3 linked regions of the Saccharomyces cerevisiae S288C genome follow. The main gene of each other region encodes a partner of the protein of the gene in region 3 in a complex. Each region holds a gene or a part of one and is shown on either strand. Other genes may lie near its edges. A codon is read from its position in the direction of its gene.

Region 1 (2,746 bases), 140 kb from region 3:
TAGAAAGTAATATCTATTAATCAACAACAGAAATGAAATACTTAGCTGCTTACTTATTATTGGTTCAAGGTGGTAACGCTGCCCCATCCGCCGCTGACATCAAGGCCGTCGTCGAATCTGTCGGTGCTGAAGTCGATGAAGCCAGAATCAACGAATTGTTGTCCTCTTTGGAAGGTAAGGGCTCTTTGGAAGAAATCATCGCTGAAGGTCAAAAGAAGTTCGCTACTGTTCCAACTGGTGGTGCTTCTTCTGCTGCTGCCGGTGCTGCCGGTGCTGCTGCCGGTGGTGATGCTGCTGAAGAAGAAAAGGAAGAAGAAGCTAAGGAAGAATCTGATGATGACATGGGTTTTGGTTTATTCGATTAAGGAATTTAATTAATAAACAATTTTCTTGTTTTCCTTCATTTTACAAAATCTGGTGTAAATCCTCGATTCCATTGTGATTTAAAAATAATTAATTACTGTATAAGATTCTATATAGACAATTAATTGAAAATAGTATTACTTCTTTAACTCGCTTAGGATTTTTTTTATTTTTTCTCTCTTTTCCGGAGAATTGCCAAATGTTTTCACGGCCTCTTCCAATAATAGCTTCATTTCTTCCAACGCAACTACTAGTTTCCCATTGTAAGTGGCGAAGTACTCGCTGATATCATCATCTTCAGAAGCTTCTTTAATGGAAGTTGTTAAAGAATTTATAGAATTTGTTTGGCTCAGAATATCTGATAATTTACTTTCGCCTATTTGGAGAGCCTGACATTTCAGTATTAAATCTTTCCTTAAATTACTATACTCGCTTAGAACTTTGAGATCATTTTCCACTTCAACTTCCTCTTCGTCTGCTACTTCCATCTGCGGCAGCTTCAACACATCTTCAATTAATCTCTCTATCGATGTACTCTGAGGTTCACCCTCAACTCTATTTCTTAGTTCACTTCCAAGAGAGTACTTTGGTATGTCTCCAACAAGTTCCATTATCTGCTGCGATTGACTGGCTCTCAATTCAGACTCGTTATCGTATATCTCTTTGCTCAGTAAGTCTTGTTTTCCCCTGCTCATGGCATCCTTTCTCTTTTCAATTACTTGAGCCTTTAGTAATCTGCACACTTCATTTGGTAATTCGCCTGCTAGGTCATCCATGAGGTAGTCATCACTCGACAGCAGTGCGGTCAATTCATTTTCTATAAAATTGGATATGCTATTATATGTGTCTGTCATCTTATTCCTACAATCTATTGTTGCTTTAGTTTCTGTGCACATTTACCAAAAATATTTCTTCGCATGTAGATTTACCTCTTTTCCCCTGTGACGCGTCATCGTTTTTATATCACCTTTGAACAAAGCAATATATCTGTACTCAAAAGGTACAAACGAAAGTTTTGTTCACGAGAAAGAGATATTTTACATGCGAATTAAATCTTGATTGCCTGAATTCTTCACTATTTTATGATTTTTCCCTTCCTTCTTGAAATTTGATTTATATTTAGTCCAAATATTACAGAAAAAAAAAAAAAAGATGCCTAAGCCTTGGGTCTTATTTCGAACAAATCCATCCATCGGTAACAATTCAAAAAAAGAATATTTCGTCTCGAACAATTTGCTAAGTATTGTGGGTAAATGATATATAAATTTTTATAAAAACTCTTGGCCAAGAAAAAAAAAAAAGACTATGTCTAAACGTAACGTTATCATTATTATTAAATCATTTTAATGTTTTATAAGTTTTGTTTTTCATTTCATACCCTTTAAGGAGCATTTGGCATTGTGTGCGCCCTGAAGGCTAAATAAGAATTTGAAGGACTCACCACAGAACAGTATAGCGAATACCAACCGCAGCAACTACTTAAAATTCCAAAATAGCCACCGGCCATTTTGAGATTGTTGTTGTCAATGAAGGTGCCGATACACAGTAGTAGGAAGGTAAGATCCAAAAACGTCAATAGTAAGAACAAACCCCACGTGCTCTTCAATGTACACATCAACATCAAGAAGGTGAAAACGGTCCAGCCCGCAAGGAAGAACCCAATGACATTGTTCAACATTGTGGGATCGGTATAGCCGCTGACCAAATTATCAGTATCTGTTAGCCCATAACCGTAGCAGATCCAGAACCCGCCGAAAGAACTGAACACAGTCATGGCGTATGTGTCCCCAATGACAAAACACAATAACCCGGCAAACAATTCAATGGCACCACCAAAAAACATAAACAAACTTAGCGCCCATTTACCATCAGTGACGCCGCGAACGTTCGCATTAATTAGCGACAGAACTAGACATGACAGAGAAAACGATGCGAGACCCAAAGGAACCGGATTAGCGAACTGGTGCGGAGTATACTTTGCACAGTTTCCTTCCTCCCCATCCCCTCTGTCTAGTGCATTGAGCAAATCTCTGCGCCTGTAGGTGGAGGATCCTAGAGTAATGAAGTCTCTGTCGGAGTATATCTCTTGAATATTAGGGAAGCCCTGCGAAACGCCTGCAATCGAACCCTGCTGGGGGAGCGTCTCAATATTTTCTAGAGTGTTCACACCCTTTTCCAAATCCTGTGGAGAAGAAGCAGACGATGTCATTTTAACCAGTATTTTTATTTTTTATTCTTACTAAATCTTTCTGGGAATGTATTCAGTTATATGTGACCCAACTGTTTATAAAACTGGGGGAATATTAGGCAATCAAGCGAAGCTCATCGATGAGTATTCAATTTGCTAAAAAGTTGTTTTATTTAAATATTCCTTCTGAGTCAC
Region 2 (3,556 bases), on a different chromosome or scaffold from region 3:
TGTTCACCACAGCGTCTCTTGCCTTCCCGATGGGCGTTGTTGTGGCAACACCATCCTCTTTGCTTACTGTAATCGGTAGACGACGTCCGTTCCTTCCTTGGTCTCATGAAGCTCTGGCGTATAAAAACGGCGATTGAATCTTCAATGTTCCTAAAGTTTCATTCCTTATCTCTCATTTTCTTCATTTTTTGTCTCTTGGCTTTTCGATCAAAAAAAGACTATCAATAGATACATTGGTTTCTGACCCCACCTCTGTCCCCTTACACTATCAAATTTCACTTTTTTACTTTTTTTTTTTTTGCAAAAGGCCTTGTCTCGAAACAGAAAGAAAAAAAATTCATTTAAAAAGGGAAATAAAAAATTGCTAATACAAAAACAGATCTTTTTGAGCCACACAACCCCGCGCAACGCACACAATTAGTTATTACAATGGAAGCACATAACCAATTTTTGAAGACTTTCCAAAAAGAACGTCATGATATGAAAGAAGCTGAAAAGGATGAAATCCTTTTGATGGAAAACAGCCGTAGATTCGTGATGTTCCCTATCAAATACCACGAAATCTGGGCTGCTTACAAGAAGGTTGAAGCCTCTTTCTGGACTGCGGAAGAAATCGAATTGGCTAAGGACACTGAAGATTTCCAAAAATTGACTGATGACCAGAAGACCTACATCGGTAACTTGTTAGCCTTGTCCATTTCTTCTGACAACCTTGTCAACAAGTACTTGATCGAAAACTTTTCTGCCCAATTGCAAAACCCTGAAGGTAAGAGTTTCTACGGGTTCCAGATTATGATGGAAAACATCTACTCTGAAGTTTACTCCATGATGGTTGATGCCTTCTTCAAGGACCCTAAGAACATCCCTCTATTCAAGGAAATTGCCAATTTGCCTGAAGTCAAGCATAAGGCTGCTTTCATCGAGAGATGGATTTCCAACGATGACAGCTTGTATGCTGAAAGACTAGTAGCATTTGCTGCAAAGGAAGGTATTTTCCAAGCTGGTAACTATGCTTCTATGTTCTGGTTGACTGACAAAAAGATTATGCCAGGTTTAGCAATGGCCAACAGAAACATCTGTAGAGACAGAGGTGCCTACACTGACTTTTCATGCTTGCTATTTGCCCATTTGAGAACCAAGCCAAACCCCAAGATCATTGAAAAAATCATTACCGAAGCCGTGGAAATTGAAAAGGAATACTACTCAAACTCTTTGCCAGTAGAAAAATTTGGTATGGATTTGAAGAGCATTCACACCTACATAGAATTTGTCGCTGACGGTCTATTACAAGGTTTCGGTAACGAAAAATACTACAACGCCGTCAACCCATTCGAATTCATGGAGGATGTCGCTACCGCTGGTAAGACCACCTTCTTTGAAAAGAAGGTTTCCGACTACCAAAAGGCCAGTGACATGTCTAAGTCCGCTACCCCATCCAAGGAAATTAACTTTGATGATGACTTCTAAGTCAACGACGGGGTGCGTTCTTTTATTCTTGGCCACTTTTATTTATATATATTTATATATACCTAGGTACAGTATAACTAAACTTAAGTAGAAAAATTTAAAAAGAAACTACAGTTTTTTTTTATATTTATTATGACAATATTTGCCATTTTCTTGTAGGTAGATAAGGGAAAGATTCAGAGAGTACCATCATCCCGGTCATTTCATTTAAATAACATATTTTTGTTACCCGGAGAGTCACAATACGGTCCACCCATTTGTTTACTACCTCGAAGTTAATACAGATAGAGGTACATAGCAACAATGGATGAGGTAACTTGCACCCTATGGACGAATAATTCAAGCGATACTAGTGCTACGTATACTGTATGGCAGCTGATAGAGATAATTTTTTACAAAATATTGAAAATGATTCAATTAACAATGGCCAGGCCATGGATCTGTCACCCAACCGAAGTTCCTCTGAAAGCGATAGCAGCATTCTCATGAATGTGAATGATATTAAAACTTTACGTCTGGACGTAGCACCAGAAGCTAAAAGCACCCAATCAAAGAAGTCGCTTTTTTATGAGAACTCTGATGATGCTGAAGAAGGAGAAATAGAAGAGCGCACGAACAAAGAAGAAGGACAATACCATCATAAAGGATCTAAACAACTTCGATTTGAGGTTGGCAAGGAAAGTACAGGTAAATTGCAATCTCATCTATCGGATGGAAGCGCAACAAGTGGAGAGGGCAATGTACGACCTTGGGAATTCAGGAAGGTAATACAAGCTGAGTATAGAGAAAGGTTGCCGCGCAATTATGAATTAAAGCATTGGAAAAAGCCTTCTAAAATAATGATAGGATCCATACTTCGTTTATTAGAGACTAACACTGTAAGCGCTCTTGATTCTGTCTTTGAGAAGTACGAAAAGGAAATGAACCAAATGACGCATGGCGATAATAATGAGGTTAAAAGAATATATTCTAAGAAGGAACGTTTGCTTGAAATAATCCTCACAAAGATAAAGAAGAAGCTAAGACAGGCCAAATTTCCCTCTAGGATATCGGAAAGAGATCTAGACATCGAGTATATTTATTCTAAGCGACAATTTATTCAAAACCGGTATTCACAAGAACTACAAAATAATGAGAGATTGGAAGCAATTCTTTCACGTGAACAAAACCTTTTGGAGGAAACTAGGAAGTTGTGCATGAATTTAAAAACAAACAACAAGAAACGACTCACTGAGAAGCTAATACAAAAAGATCTGCATCCAGTACTTAACAAAGCAATGGAATATACATATGGCTTAGAATCTACTAATGGATTTATGCATCCTGATGGCCCAGTAACTTTTAGAAATGATAGCCACGAATTGAACCTGATGTTGAACGACCCCATAAAAAGTACAGCCGATGTGAGGCTTGATAAGGAGGAAGTACTGTCGTTGTTACCTTCTTTGAAAGAATATACGAAGAAATCAAAGGAACTTAAGGAAACAATGGGTCAAATGATTTCGGATTCACATGAAGAAGAAATCAAAGAGGTTTTTGTACCGCACCATGAGTCGCACCAAGATAAGACCGAAGAAGATATACACTAGCGATAATCCATTGTTTCAGAGTTTACGATTACGATGCATATAACTAAATATTTGATATATAATCATGCACTATTAGCATCCGGGTTACGTAACTTCTCCGCCAACGAGCCTCAGAAAACCTTGGAGAGCCACAACAAATTATGAAAAACTGGAAAAAAAAAAAAATAAAGAAGGAAGGAAAGCTCAATTGGGAGGCACTTTCTTTACTTGAGATTTGCGTTTTTGTAAAGCAGTTCTTAAATCGGCATCTCTCATCGCATAGATCTTTAAGGAAGATATAGGTCATTCACTCGCGTTTTCTTCTATCTTTCTTTTTGTTCTTTCCAGAAGACGTTTCGATTATTTCCGAATTGATCTTGAAGGGGAAGCAATAATTAAATCTTTGAAAATTGATTTGATATAAAAACTGACATCCTCAGTCACGGAAGTAATTAAAGGAGTTCATTACATTGAAACAATATGAAGGGAAACTTTAGGAAAAGAGATAGCTCCACCAACTC
Region 3 (8,052 bases):
CAACCTGGAAGCGACCAATAACAAGAAGCCACCTCTTTAATTCACCAATTTTCTATATACGCATACTCATATACACATATATATATGCTATACCGTTTCTAATATATTCATTTAAGATCACTGTTTCCTGCGAAAAGGAGAAAAAAATAACAGCACATCGCTTAACCTATTCCTGTGCTTCTGGAAAGGACGCAGCCTGCAAGAAACAGTCAACATCAATGTCAGATCCATTTGCACATTTACTGACTTCTTTGAAGAATAAGGACTCTGCATCTGCATCCAAGGAAACAACTCCTCAGAGCAGCAATTCGCCTTCCATTACTGGTTCCGCTGTTGCAGATGTTGCAAGGACGGATAAAAGCCCCAATGATAGTCTGCATTCAATTTCAGCTCCTCCGCTGATACCGTCACCGAAGGTAGATTTTTCTGCACCTCCTTTGGTCCCAACTAATAGCACCACTAAATCTAATACTGCCAACAACACACCTCCCTCGGCTCTTGCCAATACCGATGACGACTTCAATCAACTATTTGGTATGGGCACAGTAACTACAACGGATACGATCCAAAAACCGGATGAGGATTACTATGGAAGCAAGGAAGACCACCTTTACAATGGTGATGACGCCTTAGTTGATGAAGTTAAGGATATGGAAATAGCAAGATTGATGTCTCTAGGTTTATCAATTGAAGAAGCCACTGAGTTTTACGAAAATGACGTAACTTATGAAAGATATTTGGAGATTTTAAAGTCAAAGCAAAAGGAGCGCAACGATCTAGCTATAAGAAAGAAAGAAAGTGGTATAAAAATGGAAAAGTCAGGATTATCCAACATTGTTGGTACAGATAGCAATAATTTATTCAGCATGGCCACTGATTTTTTCAATAAGGGTAAGAAACTGGTAGACCAATGGACCTCCTTCCCACCTGAGGCAAATGATAGACTGAATAATTACTCAAAAACTCATGATAAGGTTGAGGATTATGATTTGCCTCAAGTAAACGACTCACCCAATAGAATTTTGTTTGAAGATAATGAAGTCGTAGAGAACTTACCACCTGCCGATAATCCGGATCAAGATCTTTTAACTGATTTCGAAACAAAGATTGATATAACAAAGAGGACAGCGCCTGATGTCTCCCACTCCTCCTCACCGACTTCTGGTATACTAATTGAAGAAAATTCGCGAAGAAATGAGCCCCTGATAGAGGATAGTCTTCTCGACTTTTCAGAAGGAAATCTCACCAATAGTAAAAGCAATGAAGATAGCACCCTCTTCAATGAAAACAGCAACACTGACTCTACAATACCCATCTCAGATATTGAATTATCGGGGTATAACGAATTTAAGGCGAAAGGTACTAGTTTGTTCAAGAACGGGGATTATATTAACTCATTACAAGAATATGAAAAGTCTTTAAATACATTGCCTTTAAATCATCCATTGAGGATCATTGCATTATCAAACATTATTGCCTCGCAACTGAAAATCGGTGAGTACTCTAAGTCCATAGAAAACTCCAGCATGGCTTTGGAATTATTCCCATCAAGCAAAGCTAAGTGGAAGAATAAAATCTCAAATAGTGACCCTGAAAGATCATTTAACGACATCTGGCCAAAGATTATGATTAGGCGTGCTGAGTCTTTTGAACATTTAGAAAGTTTCAAAAAAGCACTAGAAACATACCAAGAGCTGATTAAGAAGAATTTTTTTGATGATAAAATCATGCAGGGAAAAAGAAGATGCCAAGACTTTATTAATCCTCCCCCTGTTAAAAAATCCATGCCCGTTAAGAAGAAGACAACGACAACCTCGCCTGCAACAAAAAAACAGAACTTAACCGCTTCTTCTTCAAATTCTCCAATTTCTGTTGATAGCACTTCAGAAATAAAAAAACGGGAGCTAGAAAACGCTAAACTGGCGCTATATGATAAAGTATTTGAGAAAATTAGCTCCTGGAAGGATGGCAAAGACGATGACATTCGTCATCTGTTAGCAAATTTATCCAGCTTACTAACATGGTGCAATTGGAAGGATGTCTCTATGCAAGATTTGGTTATGCCTAAGAGGGTCAAAATTACATACATGAAAGCTGTAGCCAAGACACATCCTGATAAGATACCAGAGTCCTTGTCCCTGGAAAATAAGATGATTGCAGAGAATATTTTCAGTACTTTAAGTATTGCTTGGGATAAGTTCAAACTGCAGAATGACATTAACTGATTTCCCTTGTGTGCCTGCTTCGCTCAGTTGTTTTTGATATGTACTTTATACAAATATATATAGGAAAACAAATTCTTCAAAGCGCGTTAGGAAAAAGTATGGAAAGGCTTAGTTTCATTTATTGACTTACAAGTGGCACCCAATTTGATTAATATGAAAAACAATCTGCAAAAAAAAAAAAAAAATTCAAAATATCACAATGTTAAAACACAATAGAAATAGGGCATTGTATTAAAACCACTGAACGACTAAAAATTGAAAAAGATTATGATACGTCAGCTCAATTATTGGTCAAGGAAGGCGTATCTCATTTACCCCTTTCAAGTTTTTGTAGGCGCATTATTATCAATAGTAGTATCTTCAGAAACATTAAACCATCAAAAAGAGACATGCGCTCTATTGAAATCGTCCAATATTTTCAATGTTATTTTTGCATACAAAGCGAACCAACTGTGGCCATTTTTATTCTTTAGTTTGGCTTTTCTGCAAATATACTTCCACTATCTAGCAAGAATGGATATATTGCCTTTACCAATATCAAGTACCGAAACTAGCTCTTCCTATTTAACATATACTAACCATTGGCCTCTGCTCAAAAATAGAATAATCAGTATTATGATCACTCAATATGCTTGCAAGTTCGTTCTAAAATATCTATTATTGTTTTTGAATTTCCAATTTATCGATCATGTTTTCATTTGGACAGGGGGAGAATGCAGTTCTGGTAGTAAAACGACATCAGCTGAAAAGTGCCGTCTAGAAAATGGGAAATGGGATGGTGGGTTTGACATTAGTGGACACTTCTGCTTTCTTGTGAGTATAAGCATGATTCTTTGGATGGAACTTCACTTATTCAGTAGATTTGTTCAAGCTGAAGATATGTTTTGGGTTGTGAATAAGTGGGTACGAGCTTGCCTTGCCATTGTTTGCGCTGTCCTAGTAATTTGGATATGTATTCTCTGGGTTACCGCTATTTATTATCATACTATCTTGGAAAAAGTGTTAGGTTGCCTTATGGGTTTCATATGCCCTGTTTTCATATACCACATTCTACCCAAAATTGGGATACTACACAATTACTTATATCTATGATAAACAGAGAAAATTAGCTCTATCCTCTTTCTATAAAGTATATTTTTGTTAACATTCACTTGAATATTGTCGCGAAAGAATGGTTTAATTTTAATTCCAAATCATCCAAAGAACCGAGCAATGCAATTTCCCATTTACTTTTATTATTTTGACTAAAATCATGAATATCGTCCAATATTGAACATGAAACTATTTCATTTTGTTTTACAAACAACTCGACTTTAATATCCTTCACAAAAAACGAAACCATTGAAGATTCTAAATCTAAATCTAAGTCGTGGATTATCTTCTTAGCTTCTAAGTCCTTAAAAATCTGTCGTCTTTTCTGTACTTCCACAAGTTGCAGGAAGACTCTTTTAGCAAATAAATAGGCGTCATCATGAGATATCACTAGTCCCCCATTGGTGTCATCAAATATACCTTGGACATCAATGAAACTCGGGATTGTATGCTTGAACAGGAACCAACTATTCGATTTGATCCTCTTTTTCAACAATACATAGTGAGGTTTTTCAAATTGGGATGTCCGTTCGCTGAAGACTTCCAGTCGTATTCCCAGCATTTCTCTATCAACAAATATTTCACCGCTAGCATCTTTTATCTTAAGGTCAATAGGGTCCACAAGAGGGAAAAATGTTATACCAAACATTCTATAAACATTTTCCAGGACAATATAATCTTCCAACTCACTTCTATCACTTGTACTAATATCGTCTATTTTTAGTTTTCGCTTTCTTTTTGAAGGTGACGTTAGAATGTCTGTATCCAATAAATCTGCCACCCCAGGATCAAACATTTGATGCTGAACCATTGGCTGGGTCTTTAAAACCCATTCTTGTTCTGGTAAAATTTCCTCATTCTCCAGCTTAGCTCTTTTCTTTGGTTCATACGGTATTGGCGTTGCTGGTATATCCGCTTGCGCCCTTGATATGTCCTTGTCATCTGTCTCTTCCAATTCTGGATGCTCATTAAATAAAAAATTATTCAACTGTGGGAATTGATCGAATAGATCTTCAAATTCTTGTACTATAGGATTAGCGCTCTCCTCATTTTTTCTTTTATCTTTTATCTTCGCTTTGAGCTTCTCACGACTTTCTTCTAATGAATTGACTGTGAAGATTCTACTATGTTAGTGTTCAACTTAATCATTTTTTTAAAAGAAAGAAAATTGTTACAGCCTCAAAATCACATACTTTCACTGAGTAAAGATTCAATGTCCTGCTGTAAATCATCGATTCTACTCATTGCCAGGAGCGTTACTGATAGTTTGAAAGAATTGCTCAAGTAAAGAAATCACATTTTCCCCTCATTATCCATATGGCTTTTGTTTGTTTTTTCTTCAGTTTTGAAATATGCGCGTTTTCTTACCATCATTATAAACTTAGGGAAGATCTATCATAGAATTGGTCGGCCATTACTGGCGATTAGTAAAACAATACATAAAGTTTGCATATTCAATGCGATAAAAATTTAAGACGGCCCAGGTATCGAATCCATGATATAGTGGTTCTTTTATGTATTAGGCTACTATTTATTTAATAACTTCGCATCTATCAAAAGAAAAGACTGACTGTTCACACAATCATATCAATTTGATAACTGCTAATTACTTCCAGCTTAGGTCCCGCCTCTTTACTTTTCCTTTCAATCGCCATCAAAGAGGCAACATAAGAAACCTTTGAAACTGGGACAGCGTATCCTAATAATGCAGATCCTGGCATCCTATATATACTGGAAGCAATTATTTCGCTTAACTTTGTTCTTAAGCCAATCCTTCTGGCCTCACTGATATATTTCTTTTTATAAACTAAAAGATAGTGAGGATAATAAAAAATTTTTTCCAAGAAAGTGGAGTTTTCTTTACCCAATTCAACGTTTATAGGATTTCCGTGCTGTCCACACATCGGACCTGGCCTCAAAATAACTAGCTCCTTTAGCTTATTTGGCAAAGCTTCATCCAAGTCATTTTCTAATTTAGCTTTTATTCTAAAATACTCGAAAGTTTTACTAAGAAAATCATTATTAAAGGCAGTTGTAACCACCAACCTTTTGTTAGTTGTATTCGTGAATTCTTGTGCTAAATTAAAAGGTAAGTAATAGTCAGCAAAGGAACTTGGTACCTGAGTTCTCCGCACTCTAGCTGAGGTGGAGCCCAAAGAGCACACCATAGTGCTAATATCACACAGACTAGGCAAACTTCTACCGGGAACGTAATTTTTGTTGTCAATGTCAAACTTTTCCAGCTTTTGTGTTCCTGAGAATATCCGTGGAAGCAATTTTGGCCAAGTTTCAGATCTGGGGATGATCAATTGCGTTACAGTAAAATTACAAATGATCTCAATACCTTTTTCCTTTCCGCATGCATAATGTAGTGTGTAACTGAACTGTTTCTGATTATAAACAAAAGAATAACCATCTTTTCCCCTCTCTTCAGGCGTATTTTTAATAAATCCTTCTTCAAAATTATCATAACAAAAAGTATTAGGACTAGACGGTACTTTTTCAGTGTCTTTTTCTTTCCTGCTTCTCAAGTAATATCTGCCACCTTGCCAAGTAACTGATCTCATATTTATATAATCAATGGTCTTCATAAATGATTTCTCCTCATTGATGCACCTTCTATTAACACAAAAGACATGTTTATTGAGAACGACATTTCCCTTTATTTCACTTAAGCTATCAAGCTTGCCTTGTAGGTCCGAAACATTTTTAATATATAAATTTATGTCCAACAGGTTCTCTAAAATACCTTTTCCTACTAAACTAGATGATCCAAACAATAAAACGTAATCTGTAAACGTGTTGACACTATAACTCATTTCTGATCAACCTTTCTAGTTTGGAATATTCTTCAAAGGGTCTATATGTATAAAAAGCTGTCATTTATATTAAAAAGAATTTATAGCGTTTACTGCGGATCAAAATTAAATACGTCAATTTTTCTTAAAATTTCTTTTAATCTAAATGACACAAAAAATGTCACCCATCATTATATGTATTGAAAACCAAAAAAAAAAAAGGAAAATTATACTTTCAATGAAAGACACAAAAATGAAGAAGTTCAAGGATATAAAAGTTAGTTTTTACCTGTTGAATTATATGCAGAGTTACTGTTAAATTACAACAACTTATCGTTTCTTGATGAGTATTCAAGGTGACGGAATATTATCATATATGATGTAATAAAATGACATAAATGATAAGAATGCGTTATCAAATTTAAAAGCAACTGAAACGCACGGATTGATGATAAAAAAGGATAACGATTGGTAACATTTAGACTAAAGAATAGATCGTAATATAGGAGATTTGAGAAATATGTGGGTAATTAGATAATTGTTGGGATTCCATTGTTGATAAAGGCTATAATATTAGGTATACAGAATATACTAGAAGTTCTCCTCGAGGATATAGGAATCCTCAAAATGGAATCTATATTTCTACATACTAATATTACGATTATTCCTCATTCCGTTTTATATGTTTATATTCATTGATCCTATTACATTATCAATCCTTGCGTTTCAGCTTCCTCTAACATCGATGACAGCTTCTCATAACTTATGTCATCATCTTAACACCGTATATGATAATATATTGATAATATAACTATTAGTTGATAGACGATAGTGGATTTTTATTCCAACATACCACCCATAATGTAATAGATCTAATGAATCCATTTGTTTGTTAATAGTTTGAATGTTTTTATCGGAAGAGGTTTGGTCATTACGTCTGCAATATTCTTTTTGGTTTCGATATAGCATACGTGCAGATGATTTCCTGATACTTCATCTCTTAGTCTCATTGCTTTAGTACCAAAAAATCTGTTTCTAAATTTCTCTTCATTATTGGATATAATTATACTGATTGTAGATTTACTGTCGGTTAGTAATCCTTTAGTAATTGGTTTCTTGTTAAGTTCTTGCACAAGGTGACTGAGGTTATTTAATAATGGGACAGATTCACTTATCGCGTGTATTTCTGCTTCCGTAGTTGAAGTACATGTTAATGAAGCCTTGGTGGACTTTCCTCCAATTACCTTTCCATTAAGTAAATATATGTTGCCAATTTGTGACTTGTAATATGGTTGGTTACCATATGAAGCATCACTTATTGCGACTAGTTTATTATCTGGCTCGGTAGGTTTGTTTTTGTGCCATATCAGTTGTTTATCTCTAGTGTCCCACATGAATTGTATTAACTCATATGTCATGTCTAAAACTTGCCTAGAGGGGAATAGTATATGTTGAGCAAGTGTGTTGATGTAGTATAGTAAGTCAAATCTAAATTTATATCCAACATATGAAGCTAGACCAATCAACTTTTGCATTTCATGTACCTTCTCTTTGTATTCATCTTCATCTATTTCTAGTTCATCCTGGTCTATATAAAGACCTGGTTGACCTGGAGCGCTAAGTTTTCTTCCTTTTGGATTCAAAGGTACGTTTAATTTGGGTATTTTCTCAGTTAATGAGTTTTCCATACCTAATTTCATGTATTTACCTCTTTGATATTTGATTTCTAAGCCAAGTATGTCGTACTGAATTTCGTTATCACTTTCACCCAGATTTATTATCTTTGTATCGTATTGTTTCTTGAGTGTTGTTATGATTTTCTTATTTGCATTTAAGTCTTTGCTGAACAATATCATATCATCAACGAATAAGCAAATTGTTACTTGACTATTCTTAAATACGCATGACCATCCACGAACTTCTTCCATACCACACTG

The links. The genes of interacting proteins can lie anywhere in the genome.
Region 1: the proteins of MCM21 (region 3) and NKP1 are in contact, whole or in part, in a cryo-EM structure (PDB 6NUW), measured with the Saccharomyces cerevisiae proteins. Residues at the interface, in NP_010604.4 of Saccharomyces cerevisiae: Glu316 (codon at 3,534), Val325 (codon at 3,507), Ser326 (codon at 3,504), Cys327 (codon at 3,501), Ser328 (codon at 3,498), Glu345 (codon at 3,447); in NP_010671.4 of Saccharomyces cerevisiae: Arg100 (codon at 920), Val101 (codon at 917), Glu102 (codon at 914), Gly103 (codon at 911), Glu104 (codon at 908), Pro105 (codon at 905).
Region 2: the proteins of MCM21 (region 3) and OKP1 are in contact, whole or in part, in a cryo-EM structure (PDB 8OVX), measured with the Saccharomyces cerevisiae proteins. Residues at the interface, in NP_010604.4 of Saccharomyces cerevisiae: Asp252 (codon at 3,726), Thr253 (codon at 3,723), Asn254 (codon at 3,720), Gly255 (codon at 3,717), Asp262 (codon at 3,696), Asp263 (codon at 3,693), Leu266 (codon at 3,684), Lys269 (codon at 3,675), Arg270 (codon at 3,672); in NP_011695.1 of Saccharomyces cerevisiae: Val323 (codon at 2,802), Arg326 (codon at 2,811), Asn327 (codon at 2,814), His330 (codon at 2,823), Glu331 (codon at 2,826), Asn333 (codon at 2,832).

The regions. Positions count from the first base shown.
Region 1 is NC_001136.10:1,239,460-1,242,205, forward strand, and holds NKP1 (Nkp1p), read right to left. Parts: upstream 1,218-2,746; coding exon 501-1,217; downstream 1-500. Other genes in the region: ribosomal protein P2 RPP2B, read left to right, coding at 33-365; putative ammonium permease ATO3, read right to left, coding at 1,745-2,572. UniProt on the Saccharomyces cerevisiae protein: Component of the kinetochore, a multiprotein complex that assembles on centromeric DNA and attaches chromosomes to spindle microtubules, mediating chromosome segregation and sister chromatid segregation during meiosis and mitosis.
Region 2 is NC_001139.9:853,175-856,730, reverse strand, and holds OKP1 (Okp1p), read left to right. Parts: upstream 1-1,835; coding exon 1,836-3,056; downstream 3,057-3,556. Other genes in the region: ribonucleotide-diphosphate reductase subunit RNR4, read left to right, coding at 430-1,467; PBP1 (Pbp1p), read left to right, coding at 3,516-3,556. UniProt on the Saccharomyces cerevisiae protein: Component of the kinetochore, a multiprotein complex that assembles on centromeric DNA and attaches chromosomes to spindle microtubules, mediating chromosome segregation and sister chromatid segregation during meiosis and mitosis.
Region 3 is NC_001136.10:1,100,268-1,108,319, reverse strand, and holds MCM21 (Mcm21p), read right to left. Parts: upstream 4,563-8,052; coding exon 4,511-4,562; intron 4,428-4,510; coding exon 3,373-4,427; downstream 1-3,372. Other genes in the region: DAD4 (Dad4p), read left to right, coding at 1-40; auxilin-like protein SWA2, read left to right, coding at 219-2,225; YFT2 (Yft2p), read left to right, coding at 2,493-3,317; HIM1 (Him1p), read right to left, coding at 4,892-6,136. UniProt on the Saccharomyces cerevisiae protein: Component of the kinetochore, a multiprotein complex that assembles on centromeric DNA and attaches chromosomes to spindle microtubules, mediating chromosome segregation and sister chromatid segregation during meiosis and mitosis.